2 linked regions of the Caenorhabditis elegans genome follow. The protein of the gene in region 1 interacts with the protein of each later gene in a pairwise test. Each region holds a gene or a part of one and is shown in the gene's direction. Other genes may lie near its edges.

Region 1 (7,844 bases):
TCACAAAAGAAAGAGCTCAGAGGTGAAGCATAATGTGGTAGAATGGAGAAGACAAGAAAGAAAGAAGACAGTTGGATAGTACAAATACCTTCCAAACATGGCCCCGTCTCTCTCCGTTTTGTTTGTATATTGTCTTCAACCTTTTCCGTCCGTTCGATTCACTGAGCCACTTAGGTCACACTTGGCGGCAAATCTGCAAGTCTCGTAGATGAACACCTCAACACGGCATGACAAAACTCTTCACGCATGTTCCAAGGATCTTGAAGGTTCTTGGTTCAGTCGACGAAAGTTTTATAGGGGATCTGATAATTTTTGAATGTCTTCTTTGTACAGGTGAAAATTTTATTCATAGTATGAGTTCTAATTAGTTTGCTTCCAATGCACATTACTAATTGCACGCAATTTTGAAAAATTATGTCTATTCTGTAAAGATTTCTGTGAAATAAAATGAATTCTGCAAGTTTGTCGTGAAGGCAAAAAACCTTGAAGCATCGGGAATTCTTAGTTTCTTGTCTGGTCTGAAATGCAAATGTGCAATAATAATTCGGGTGATTTGATTCGAATGAAAATGTTTATTCATTGACTATAAGGACCCATGTATGTTCTCATGCAGATTTCTGCATTGGCTGTGCAGTTGTACCACAGATTTGGCAGGTTTTTGGGCATTGTCTGAAATTTCAGATGAGATTTTCAAGTTTTCTAGTTTGATTTCTCACTCAGCAATATTTTCATCATGGCATTGTCTAACATAGTTTGGGCAGAGACCGAGCTTGTCTTCGCATACAAATGGAGTATCGGTAACGCAGACACCACAGGTTTTACGACAACCACTGAAAAGAAAACAACATTTTCATCCGAACAATTCTAAGTATGTGCCTTACCTTCTAACATCTGCTTCGTTACAGTAATTTTTGAGTGAAGGGCATGATGGTCTTGAGTCGACACACGACTCTGAAGCAGTGTAAGCTACAAGCACAATCACAAATCCGATGAGATAACGCATTTTGGTGATACATAAATGATAACTGAGTCAAGTTTATATGAGGAGTTCTTATCAATTAATCTGGAAAAGATCAAAGAGTCAATGTGGGTGTAGACTCATGATATCACCGTATTTCATTGACATTCGGAGTGCATCGTGCTTTTAAATGTCAAAGATCGGCAAGATGGCAAGATTTCTATAAAACTACGTCAAGGGTAAAGTTTAGAACAATTGAAGTGACAAATTTCTGATATTTGATAATTTGATAATTTGAAAATCTAAAAATGAAGTAAAACTATTATGATTTGGAAAGATGGAGCTCTACCTTTTTGATTGTTTTTTTGGAGTCGTTCAAGTAAAATATGTCTCTCTGCTCCAAAAATCGTAACTAATTTTTTTAAAATATTAATTTAAATCAATTCCATAACAATTGTAACAAACCAGAAGCATTCAAGGGGTTAATAAATTAATTAGTTTTGAAAAATCATTGCTACCTGCCTGAATAGGCAGCCGGATGTAGCATATGGACAGCTCACGAGAACATTTGAATCCTAATTCGCTCATTGTACTGCCTACATGATAGAAACCATTATTTTGACTATTCTGATTTTTTTCAAATTCTTTTAAAAGTATGAAAACAATTTAAAAGCATTATTTTAAGATCTCATCGTCGTACCCAACTCCCTCTCATTAGAAATTTATTATTATTCCATTCAAATTTGCAAAGCACATCAGTAGTTTTCTGTATTTGCACAGAAGAGAGTCAAGTATAAGGTTAGGTCAACTTTGCGGGACTCACAATTGTTAGTCAATCATCAATCACTAATTAGGCACTAATCCTTCTTAAGTAGAAGTTTGAACACGCTTTCAAGTTAAGTTTATTTGTCTGCTGTTTTAGTGGTAGAAACCATTTTTGGGTCTCCTAATTGTAAAGCGATACTGTTAAGGTCGCAACTCAACTATGGACTACAAGTCGTATTTTGGATATGAAATATTGAATGAAAGACTGATCGCCTTTTGGTAGACATGTTCCAAGATTCACATACACATTCCCTTCCAATACCTTCACCATTCCAGTTTCCCACCATTCTTTTCTATCGATTGCTCCAACATATCGTCCCTGAAATTGCCACCTCTGCGTTCCCATAACCGTGTCTGGTGATGTATCAAAATATTGAGGTTACAACATGTCATTGTTTGACTGTGGGATATAATATTTCACTTGGACCTGGATCCTTAATTTTTGCAATTTTTCGCCCGTACGTTTTTCAAAATTGAATCGAATTCAATTGAAATAAATTGAAATCGAATTCAAAATAATGATAGAGAGGTCGTTTGAAGAACCCATCGGAACTGTCTAAGTCTTTTCAATTTATTCAATATTTCACACACTTCGAGCACAGCGGGATACGTGCCGCCGCAAGAAGGTGTCAGAGATAATCAATTTTTAAACACATAAAACATACATTTGAAAGAAGATGTACGGACTGGTACCAAGGCCAGTGGGTCACTCTATTTCCTAATATCTACAGTTTTTTTTTAAATTCTTTTGTTTTATGTCAAACGGATTAACTGTAGGTTTTGGCAGCCGATCTTTAAGATTCGGTCTTAAAAAGATCATGTGTATCCTATTGCTTTCAGTATCCATTCAATGTAACAAAACTCTTTTAAGGTGGTTTCAACTAGGTTATATCCTGACCAAGGGTGTCAATGTCCCGTAAAAATTTCGAAAACGGGACAACGGGAATTCCCGTTCCCGTGAAAATTTTAAAAACGGGAAAACGGGAATTCCCGTTCCCGTGAAAATTTCAAAAACGGGACAACGGGAATTCCCGTTTTTTTGAAAACACTCAAAAACGGGACAAACTGGGCGGTTTAAAAAAAAAGAGTGCATAGTTGGCGTAAATTTTAGTGTATTCGAGGCAAATTATAAAAAAAACTGCATTATAAACATTTTTATCGATTTTTTCAATATTAAACAGATATTTAAAAAGCCAAAAAATGAGGGAAAATGTCCAGTTCCCGTGAAAATTTTTAAAACGGGACAACGGGAATTCCCGTTCCCGTGAAAACACCCCAAAAACGGGACAACGGGAAAAACGGGAAACGGGAATTGACACCCTTGATCCTGACTGTAATTTCAAAATTTAGATAGTTTCAATTTCACTCTTCTTAGGAAATGTATTGTCTCATAACTGTTTTTAGAAAGTCGGTACCATAAAAAGAGCACTAATCTCTCATTGTTCTCATTTTTCTTGGAAGCTCTGTTCATTTCCTGAGTCGGCTGCCAGTAAAAAAGAAGAGCTCAAGGGCTCAAGTGAGCGTGAGCCGGCAAAAAGCACTAGTCAATAACAGTATCATTAGGATGCCGGATAATTGACATTCAAAGCGGCTTTTCCTGCACTCTCCGGTCTTTTCCTCTAGTGTCGCAGTGCGTTTTACATGAAAATTCAAATAGGGCAGAAACAAAACCATAAAATGTGATCGACGGTTAGCACCCCTCATTCAATCTCATTAGGCCGCAGTTTTATGGATAATCAACTATTGCACTAAATGATATTTGTATTGGAAATTCATTAAACATATGAAATGGGAATTTGAGAAAGTGCAATGCTTCAGAACGACATGTTCTCTCCGTGTTTCTCTAACAGTGAAGCCATCGCTTATTTTACTTATTTTACGATCAGAAGAAATTTTCAATTTCAGCTGATTTTAAAAAATTTGCACACAAAACAAGAACCGGCCACATTTTAGATACTGAAAATATTTCTGAACTCAAGCTCCTGAAAGGCTGCTGTTGGTCTCCAGAATTTTTTTTTACTTTATACACGTTTCAATGGAAAATCCAAGGAAAGTTATAGAAACATGGAAGACATTACTACAGTATTACAGTATTCGCAGAGCGATCGTTCTGGCGCCATGGTACAACAAAGACAATCTGAAAAGTTCAGTCCATCCATGGTAGATGAAAACTTGATTTAGTGATTTTTTTCTTAATTTAAAATCTAGAGTATTTAGCACTCCTGTTTTTATTTTTTATTAACATGGTGACAGAATTGCAATCACATCAATAAATGTAGACTGAAACTTTTTGGTAGATCATAATACAACATTAATTAATTGATTGCAAACTATATATGTTCACATCAATATTCCCACCCTTCGTCTCTCCCCCAACTCAGCCCTCCCTTATTTGGTTGCCCTTCCCGACCCCGCCCACTTTTCCGCGCATTCGTGTTGTGTCTTCCCCTTCGTGATGTGGTGGGTCATTTCTCGTTTTCATTCCTCTTTTTTGAATTTTTTATTTATTTTTCGAGTTTATGGTTGATCATTTAATGTTCTTGCATTTTTCCATAGTTCTTAATCTCCTTTTCTTTATTCTTTTTCGTTCTAGAAAGTCTCTCTTAACGCTGTTTGTATAAAAATTAAACTTAAAATGTACTCTTATTTCCTTTTCCTTTAAAATTTCAAATTAAATTTTTCAACTGTATTTGCAGAATATGACCGCATCCACCTCCTCAACTCCATCTACATCCACCAAAATTCCGTCGTCAAGTAAGTCTTCAGTAACGAAGCAGACGAAGCAAAAGCGTAATGAACGTGAACGAAAACGTGTTGATCAAGTCAATCAGGGATTTGTTCTATTGCAAGAAAGAGTACCAAAAGCTGCTGGAAACAAGGCAAAGTTGTCAAAGGTGAGAGTAGTTTTGTGGTGTTTGGGAGAAAACGTGAAGCAAATTGTAAATTTGATTTGCCTAAAGGAGAAATTTGCGGTTTGATTATAGGGTTTTGATTATGTTTTGTGAAAAATTGAAATATATTATTTAGAAAACCAATTGGCAAAATGTTCTCGTATATAGGCTAATATCAAAGATTATGCAATGTTTTAGAATAAGCTGCCAACTTGATTATTTCATGTAAAATTATTTCAGCCTAGCTTTTTTTCGTTATTTACTAAAAATATTCAGAAGCTCCAGCGCAATGCTTTTTGAAACAAATTGTTCGCACTAATCCTTTCGTGCTTAAAAGACTATAACAAAAATTATTCAGCTCTGTAACTTAGAAAAATGTATATTAGGGTTTCATTTATCAATTAGAAAACCAAAATTAAATATCCAAATCATATTTGCAGTAGAAAATTATGAATAGATTTATTTAAGATTATAATTTATTTCTAAAATTTCAGGTCGAAACCCTTCGTGAAGCCGCCCGTTACATTCAAGAACTGCAGAAGCAACTCGGAATGTCTTCCACAAGTTTCCATAATTCGATGCCAGCTGACTTTCCAACTCCAGAACAGTCTCCCGTATATCCCCAATCTGTTTGCTCAATGATGGCACAGACTCCATCGCCAAGCTACACCTCTCCATACTATCCACCACCACAAATGATGTCCTCTAATCAGCATGATATGTCATCTCACTATTATCAAGAAAGCTCATCATCTTCTGCATCCACTTCTGGTGATCATCATAGCTTTTATTCGCATACAGAAACTTATTAATCTGTTAAGTTGTACCATATTTTCTGTTTTTCTCAAATAATCGGGTGATCCAATTCCTTTACCGTTTCCTATGTGTACTTGATAAGGTTTAATTGAAACAATTTCAGTTGAGTAGGTGCTCAGTATATTTCATTTCAAAAACTCTGATAATAGCCATAAATACTTACTTATTAACTATCTTTGATTGTTTTTTACGTCTAGATTAAATTTGATTTTCATTATTTATTGTACGATAGTTTTTTTGATCTCAAAACAGTTGTTTATCTAAATTATTCTGCTCAATCTGTGCAATAAATATCTTTCACATTTAGTGATACTTTTAACAATTCGAACATTTTGGTAACTAACTGATGGCAACCAAAAAAAGGAAAACTATGACGTTTGACATTTTTTGGTAGAGTGTGGTACCTATCTGCCACCAGCCTACTTGATAATTCGCCAGGAAATCACCATTAAACTCCGAGAAGGTCCATATTCGAATATTGTCTATAGGTTTAAATGTATGATATCTAAAAAAAATATGTATATTTAATAGAGAGGCAGAATTAAAGAAAAAGAATTCCTAGAACATAGGTTTCTTGTGCACCAGCTCCTTGTTTTTGCAAGTTAAAATAATTTCCTTTTTTTTTAATAATTTAAAAACTCTCAAAAGTCTTGAAAAAAGGTTGCCCCAATTTCACATTTTGATAAGATCTTCAATCAGTTAACAAATGTTGTCTTTCAGTATTTCCCATGTCAAAAGTACAGTGACATTTCCGTTCTCATTGTCTATATTAGCCAGGAATACCATTAATATGTTTACTTCATCTTCTGGGAAGACTTCTTTGCACTTCTTTTTTGTTGCATGTCGGGCCTTTTATGCAACGTAATCCCACCCGTTTATTCTTTTGTCTTTTACGGCGGCATCATTGCCCACAATAAAACTGTCTCCATTTACACCCCTTCTTCCTAGACAACTTGACCTTTTTTCTGGGGTTTTCCAACAAAAAAGGGCTGCTCTAAAATGTGGGTCACTAGGGGAAGAAGAATAGACGAAGAATACTCGATCAAATGCAAATCGAAATGGGCTCTCACTCACTCTTCTTTTCGCTTCGTTTTCCCCATTTCTGACCACTACGGGTGTGTGTTTTTTTCCGTTTTTTTGCCGTGTTTTTTCTTGTGTCCATGCCCATGGGTGAATTCTAATTGACACCCGCAAAAAAGGGCACTCGAACATGCTCATTATTCAAGCAGGAATATAAAGTAAAGAGGGGAGATTTAGACATTTGACGAATCGCATTTGAATAGGCATCACAGAAAAAAAAACAGTTGAAGAGGGAGGATATACCATGTCTACAGGTGTCAATTTTGAAGAGGAGCTGAAGGGATCATCATGAATTGATAGCCTTCCGTAACAAGTATATGTAATCCTTCACTTGCGTCATGGATCGTGTTTCGCAATGTGAAAGGATTACGAATCATGTTATTGTAAGGAGAATGACGTGGCAAATAGTATAAAAGTTTTAAAGCATTTCTGTCTCGAACTGAAACGGAAATCTTCGGCTTTACTCAGTTATTTAACGCATATTGGGATCATGTGGAACCATCCGATCTTTCAGAATTTTGCATTATAGTATTCAGAGTTCCAATATGAAGTAGATATGAAATCTGCAACGGAAAAATTCTAAAAATTAAGTCTTGGGCTTTTTCTGCTCATTCAGTTTGAGATATTATGATATGCGACACAACATTTTTTTCAGATAAGCGTACGGAAAACATTTATCTTGAATTTTAATGAGTTATTAAAAAAATAACAAAGCTAAAAAATTGTTTTATAACTTTTAAGCAATCCCAGTTTTTACTTATTCTAGTTTCATAACTTTTTCATCCAGAAAACCTTTTCATATACCATCTGTGAGCATGCGAAGAATCAATGAATACATGAATGTAGAGTAATTTTCAAATCTTTGCTACATCTTCTCCTCCCATAGCCCTTCACCGTCCCCGCATCTCGCATGAATTAATCAAATAGCAGGTGCATACCGTATTGTATGCTCATGTCCACACATGTGCTTACCTCCCAGCTTCAGACAGTATGATGAAGGCCCACATTAGGAACCCCCGGAAAATCGTTGCACAACACCAATTACCGGACTCCTCTAGGCGGATTTCGGGATTTACCGGAGGGAAAGAGCTCAGTGAAGGGTGTAATTTTGAAAGGGAAGTGGGGAAAAGGAAAAGGTCTCGGAGATGTTTATATGTGTATGTTTTGAGAGGAATTAGGGGTAAGCAAGGTCGTACACGGGTGTCCAAAATATTTTTGTTGTTTTTGTATGAATATACGGTAGGATATTCGTAAAACTTTTACAAGGACCTAGC
Region 2 (7,459 bases), on another chromosome or scaffold:
TTTTCAACATTCTCAAATAAGTATCACCATTTAGTTAATCATATTTGTAGAACAAATTCGTCATTATTACCGTATTTCTAACTTTTTCTAACCAAACCATTGAGCACTTGAATTTGATGACAGCTGCACTCCGTCCCACAATAGACACCTCCCCAAATACTCTCGAGAAAAAAGTTCCAGTACCGTATACTTTTGACAACATCTGTCAAAAAATGCACTTTAGAGACGGGCATTGGAAGTATCATTTCTTTTTATAATTGTTGGTTTATTACCACAGAGAGACAATTTTAGGATATGGCTCAAGATATTTGAAGACTCGAGTAGTCCCACAGTATTGTGATTGCTGAAACTTCTGTTGTGAATATGAGTAACTTTATTCTAATAAAATATACCCCTTTCCTGTGCACACTCTTTCTCTCACTCTTACCATATTCTGAAGAATTAAAATTTCAGAGATCCCTACAAAACTCTAATAACATGCTTCAAAAATGAATGTACTCCCTACAGTCGGGTGGCGACATTTTCCCCCAAGAGAGCTGACCTCTTCTATTCATTCAATCCCCTTATTCATTCAATCCTTCCCCCATTTTCCTCTCATTTCACCCAAAAAAGACTGGTGAATGAATGGTGGGAGAAGAGATGGAGGACCCCGGGATAATAGAGGATTGTGTGCTGCAGGAGGTAGAGAGAGATGGTTGTGGGCGTGACCTCTCCCGATCATCGTCTCTGCGTCTCTTGGATGTAGACGGTCCCCGGGAGAAAGAATGTCTGCGTCTATGTACACCAATATACTGTTTATGTCCCTTGAATGGGCTTTTATACGCGTCCCTCCACTACCACCACCCTCGAAGAACCATTCCTAGCCACCCGCATAGCCGCTAAGAAGGGGGGAGTGCACTCTTTTCGTCTTTTTTTGTGTCTAAATCTGTTCCGTTTACTAGCTTTTCAAGTTCATGATCTTACTGTAATAAAACATAGCACATATTTTGAATGAAATACATAATGTATCCCATCTTCTGATTTTGAAAATTAAAATTTCTCTCCTCCCAATTTTCAATTTTGGATCTTTTACCAAATAATTTTGATCTGCATTACTTTTTCTCACTCCTACAATGTTTACGAATCCTTACCAATTTTGAATTTAAACAAGAACGCAAATGTATTGTAGGGCAGTTTTTTTTTCAATTATTGAGTTTATCAAAAAATGTATATTTGCATCCGAAATGTTACTAGCTCACGTTTAAAGCTTTCATATATATCTTATCCTACGTCTGAATTTAAACTAATTATTTAGATGGGCCTGAAACCCTTTGATCCATCACCCCTTTACTGTTATTTTATTGCTCTTTCGGGATGTCATCCATCCGATAATCATCTACAATGACATCTACATTTACAACTATTTCTTGATACCATCTCAACATCATTACCTCCCTACAAATTGTTCTCCTTCAAGTAACTTGCTCCTAATAATTTATACCGGAACTTAGTAGATCTATTGTGACGTCACAATTATTATTCTTTATTGATCTACCTTGCCTCTTTTGATCTCGTTTGCCTATTTAACCAAACGAGGAGAATCGATTATTTTCTTCTTTTTCTTATTCTCAATATTTCTTCAAATGGGGTTGTCTTGACGAAAATCTAATCAGAATATATTTACTAACCTAATTTTTTCACCTGCTGCTCCAGCCCAATTCCCTACTTATTCCCTTTCCTCTCCCCGCTTCTCCGCTGACTTTATTTCTTTGACATTACTACTATAATCGTCTTTCATATCATTTCGCAGAAATAAAGTTTTCAGAACCTCAATGGCGGATCCAAATAGCCAACTTACGTCAGCCACAACTGTTGCAACTGCCGCCATTGCTCAACCACAGGTTATGCTTCCAAATGCATATGATTATCCTTATAATATTGATCCGACAACGATTCAGATGCCTGATTATTGGAGTGGTTAGTCTTTTTTTCATTTGAAATCTATTATAATTTCAATTATATCATTTGGTAAACCAAACCAAACATGTTTTCGTGAATTTGTTAAAAGTCGCTTGTAATCAGTTAGAAATATTGGATAAATTGCAGAAAAAGGATATAAGTTTGGTATTACTTATCTCGAATTGTTGAATTGTTGATTTTATAAGCTCGCAAATTTTTAAAATTTACTTTAAGTTGAAACAAAATGTATAACTCTTTTAATGTTCTAAAATTTTGTAAAAATCTGGTTTGCTCTAGTAAGTAGTTTATTAACCAAAATGTTTATATCTCATTTCTCAAGTGCAAGTCATCTAAATAAACATTTTCAGGATACCATCTCAACCCGTATCCTCCGATGCAAACAACGGATATTGATTATTCATCAGCCTTCCTTCCAACACATCCACCAACTGAAACCCCTGCTTCCGTAGCTGCTCCAACTTCTGCAACATCTGATATTAAGCCAATTCATGCAACATCATCCACTTCAACGACGGCTCCATCTACTGCTCCAGCTCCAACTTCAACTACTGATGTGCTTGAGTTAAAGCCAACAACAGCTCCAGCCACGAATTCTGCAGAAACATCAGCGATTGTTGCTCCACAGCCTCTTACTAATCTTACCGCACCAATTGACGCAATGTCATCAATGTATACATGGCCACAAACATATCCAGGTTACCTTCCACCTTCAGAAGATAACAAAGCAAGTGAAGCTGTTAATCCATACATCTCAATCCCTCCAACATATACATTTGGTGCTGATCCATCAGTTGCCGACTTCTCATCGTATCAGCAGCAACTTGCTGGACAGCCGGTACGTTTCTATTCTTCTTGGTTTTATTCGTGTTTTACTGTTTTACCACAAGTTAATCTCGACGAATGATTGCTTGGCCCTCCTCAGCCGCCAAGCATTCACGTATGCATAATCCGCTTCCTTTTGATGTGAGCCGCCGCCTTCTGAAGATTGAGATGCATGCAAAAGGCGGCATCTTCTTGAGAAGAACACCCTGTGCGCACTAAACGACCTCCAAAAAAGTCACTAATGTAAACATAAAACAAGGAGAAACATACAGAAAAGATGGATTAGTTACATAATTAGGCAAAGTTTATCGCTTTTTTTGTTGGAGGAAATTTTTGAGATTCTTTCAGTTTTCTTTAAAATAATTTTTGCCATATGACAATACTAAACATTAAGATTCTGAACTACTGTTGTCGTGAACAAAGTTTTGAGACCCTGATGACATTTTTTTGCGTTCCAGTCTTGAGAAATCTAGAATAATATGGTAAAATCCCTGTATCCAACCTCTGACTAGTGAATAACTAAATTGGCCAAAATTTGAAGCTCTTGCTTTTTGCATTGTTACCCAATAGCCGGTCACATTTTCTGATGGTGTCCTCGAAAACCGAAGGGGGCTATTGACCGACGTCGCCGCATGATTAAGTGGTGAACAGAGACGGTCACATTGCGGGGTTCAGTACATTAAAGAGATCGATTGATTTGACTCGGCCCCCAATAGTACCATTTGAGAGAATTAACTGACTAGCAAGGCAAATGAAATTAATTCTTTGTTTTGTTTCATTGAGAGAAAAAGTTGAGTAGTTTTAGATGAGGGTTATAGAAATTATAAAACCAAAAACAATGAAATATTGCAGAATGGTCTTGGTGGAGATACCAACTTGGTTGACTACAATCATCAATTCCCACCAGCCGGTATGAGCCCACACTTTGATCCAAATGGATATCCAGGAATGACCGGAATGCCACCAGGATCAAGTGCATCATCTGTTCGAAATGATAAGTCTGCATCAAGAGCAACGAGCCGTCGTCGGGTACAAGGCCCTCCATCTTCTGGAATTCCAACTCGCCATTCATCGTCTTCAAGGCTTTCTGATAATGAATCAATGAGTGATGACAAAGATACGGATAGGAGATCACAGAATAATGCTCGAGAAAGGTGAGGAGTTTTTTACTTTTAAGACGTTTTGAATTGAACATTGGAAATTGACAATTACATAGTAATTTAATCGAGATATCTCCAAATCTAATCTAATACAAAAAACTTACAGAGTACGAGTTCGTGACATCAATTCGGCATTCAAAGAGCTCGGACGAATGTGCACACAGCACAATCAGAATACAGAACGGAATCAAACAAAATTGGGAATTCTACACAATGCAGTATCTGTGATTACACAATTGGAAGAACAGGTTAGATAATTTTTCATATTTTAAAGAAACATTCAAATTGTGAACAAAATTAATTGGCAATTGTTCGACTGCTGTATTTTTGACTTTGAAGCACATAACATTGCGATGGAATTTATTCGAAAAATTTAAACAAAACACTGAACAAGTTGAAATTTATAATTTTACAGGTTCGTCAACGAAATATGAATCCAAAAGTGATGGCTGGAATGAAAAGGAAACCTGATGATGATAAAATGAAGATGCTTGATGACAATGCACCATCCGCGCAGTTTGGACATCCACGGTTTTAAATTTAAAAATTGACTTTTTAAGCATTTCAAACTATCATTCCCAATCTTCTCCCAATCATCCATACGGCTAAAACTCTCTAGCATATTGTTTTTTTGTTCAAACTATTCAAATGTTCCCCTTCATCTCCCTCCGGATTGGAGGTCCTGTGATTTCTCAACTTCAATCAGTTTTCAGTTTTAAAAATTTTAAACTTTATTACAAGATCATCACAATTTTCTGTATGTTTTTAATTTATTTTCTCCTCTAAATTTAAATCAATCAATAGCTAATTCTAATATTTCAAGTATTAAAATTAACTTTCATATTATTCATTCATTCAATCAACTTCTTCCAACTTGTCTTATTTTTTGTGTGTGTGTATGTGATAAACCATAGCTAATTAGTATCTACTTGAAATGAAATGGTCCACTCAAAAAAAAAGACACCGCCAACTAATTTCACACATGAATTACTCTATTGGGTAACTGTTTCAACACTTTAATTATCCAAGCTCCGATGAAGTGCTAATGTCCTTCGCAGTATGGATTCCACTTTATGTTGAAAGGGATTCCCATTTATAATTAGACATTTAGTTTGACTTTCTAAGTCGTTGAAACGAGATGTTTTTTTCATGGTCTGTCAAAACTGATGTATAGGAATATTGGATGTATAAAATGTCAACAACGGGAAAAAATGTGATACAAACATAATTCATTCACCTTGATCAAAACAAACAAAATTTTAAAATTCAGAACCCTTTTTGCATCACTCAAATTAACTGGAAAATGGCTTTTCGGACAAGTTCAATTGCATTTGGATGTTTAAGAATTGCCATGTGATCAGCTTGAAATACTTCGTGTACAGTAACCTTATAACCATTATTATTTCCAATCCAATTAGTGCACACTGTAGCTGATTTTTTGTTCACTGTCCCGTCTCCATCACCCATGAATTCAGTTGGTGGATAATCTGGAAAGTATCCGGGAGCCCATGAAAACTTTTCCGGTGTGGGGACTCCTGTTCCATAAATACAATGAACTGGAACTCCTGGAGAACTTAAATTTCCATTCAGACGGGCGGCCTGTTTGTATTGTTCCCATCCAACCATGTAATTAATGTCTTGAAAGAATTCTTTAATATTTCCAACAGTGTAGTTTTTGTCAGCAGTTGTCGCTAATATTTCATGTGGTTTCCATGCAACTGGACTTGGAAACAGAAAGGCCGAAGAGGAGAATGATCTGAAGAACCAAATAAGTTGAAGAAAAACATAATTTGGTAGTCTTAGCACCATAAGAGTAAATATTTCACTTTTAAGTTTCCAAACACCTCAAAGTGCTTACCTTTGCATTGCTCTCAAGCTACTCGGTGGTAGAATAACTCTATAATAATTCATATTATATCCAGATGCAAATAATCGAACAATTTGCATTGATCCAGCCCATGGAGCCGCCAAACTAACAAAACTCGATATGTATTTGTCTTTCCAAGCCTGGAAACAATAAGTGTTATTTCATCTAACACCTTTCAATTATCTCACCTGATCCACATAATTATTCAAGAAATACAAAGAAAGGGGATTACCCATACTGTGACCGACGAGTACGATCTTTTGATTGTCATTCCAGCGATATGTGGTTTCAATTAAGGACTTCAGTTGAATGAGATAATCGTTTAATTCATCTGAAATTGTTTAGAATTAAATACAAAGTTGGTTTGGTAATTCGGAGTGCAAAAAAACGGTTTTGCTGATCTTTGTGAGCAAGTTCGCAATTGGAAAGTTGGCGCAAACGGTACGCGGACTTTTAGCGCGGGTATAAACCAGAAAATGTCAATTTCTATGAGAAACAAATGAACCTATGTATTCTCTTAATTCTGAAGGCTCAACTCACTTGGGGATTTTCTCCAATCAAAAGGTGCTCCAATGACATTTTTTCCTCTTCGATAACCCCATGAAACCATCGAATCAACGATATCAAAGAAGTATCTTCCCTGTGATGCTTTACTCTTATCCAACCATTCAACACTTTCAGTTGCTCCAAATCCAGCAACTCTAATGTCAACTCCTGGCATGTTTTCAGACAATCCTGTGGTTGTGTTGAACACTAATCTGAAATGTTATTAAATTGATTTTCTTTGCTCTGGAAATAATGAAACTTACTGCATGTTATCAGCCCAACAATCAATAACCAAAGGTGTGAAAAGTTGTAGATTAAGCCAAAGATCAAAATAATCGGCTGTCTGCTTGGAGCAAACATAATGCACAACTGATGGTTTACCCGTTAGATTTGATTCCAGCTGGCTGCCTCCATCACCAGGCACTGAAAACTATACAATATATTTATTGCGATTTTTTAAATTCCAATTTGCTAAAAACGGACTAAAACTAATTTGGAATGTATGAAACTTTTTAGAACTCGTATTAGAAAGTACTAGATATCTTTTCAATTCTGATCAAATAAAACATCAGAACTGAGAACTTGAACAATTGTGGATGTAATTCAAAAATATAAAATTTAAAATTTAAAATAAAGAAATATAATTACAGTAGACCGACCGAACGACTTGAAAGATTTAAAGTTAAGAAATCAAATAAAACAAAAGCTCACCGAGAATCACCGGAAGTCCTTTCGCTTGTGATCTGCCAAACTTTCCAAACCATTTCGTGTCACTTTTTCCAATTAAAACCAAGAAAATACACAAAGAAACCAGGATATCCCGCATCTGTTGAACTGACCAGTCGGGTATGATGATGGAGGCTCCACTATGAGCTCAATCTTCTCCCTCCAACCCTTTTTCTTCTTTTTCAGTCGTTTTCTTTGCGTCTCTTCTCAACACCTTGTTCTCTATAGAGACACATCAATAAATCAAAGTCGCAAATGTTCATCACATGGTCATATCTTCAGAGTAGACAAGGGTGAAGGTGAGAAGGTGAATCTGGGATATTACTGACATACAAGTAGAGAACTGCGATTTATTATACAACAATAAAATATTTACGAT

Evidence for each region.
Region 2: the proteins of hlh-3 (region 1) and hlh-2 interact in a two-hybrid assay, tested with the Caenorhabditis elegans proteins (2 studies listed by BioGRID).

What each region holds. Positions count from the first base shown.
Region 1 is NC_003280.10:9,082,129-9,089,972, forward strand, and holds hlh-3 (Helix-loop-helix protein 3), read left to right. Parts: upstream 1-4,479; 5' UTR 4,480-4,482; coding exon 4,483-4,677; intron 4,678-5,168; coding exon 5,169-5,486; 3' UTR 5,487-5,780; downstream 5,781-7,844. Other genes in the region: sysm-1 (ShKT domain-containing protein), read right to left, coding at 606-669, 717-830, 882-1,003. UniProt on the Caenorhabditis elegans protein: Probable transcriptional regulator. May mediate transcriptional activation by binding to the E-box motif 5'-CANNTG-3'. Plays a role in the differentiation of the hermaphrodite-specific motor neurons (HSN) that are required for normal egg laying.
Region 2 is NC_003279.8:7,188,260-7,195,718, reverse strand, and holds hlh-2 (Helix-loop-helix protein hlh-2), read left to right. Parts: upstream 1-1,798; 5' UTR 1,799-1,811; coding exon 1,812-1,956; intron 1,957-2,306; coding exon 2,307-2,794; intron 2,795-3,633; coding exon 3,634-3,935; intron 3,936-4,047; coding exon 4,048-4,189; intron 4,190-4,356; coding exon 4,357-4,479; 3' UTR 4,480-4,931; downstream 4,932-7,459. Other genes in the region: plag-15 (PhosphoLipase A2 Group), read right to left, coding at 5,229-5,697, 5,800-5,948, 5,997-6,139, 6,349-6,566, 6,618-6,777, 7,066-7,180. UniProt on the Caenorhabditis elegans protein: Transcription factor which binds the E box motif 5'-CA[TC][AG]TG-3'. Plays a key role in the anchor cell/ventral uterine precursor cell (AC/VU) decision; required for VU fate.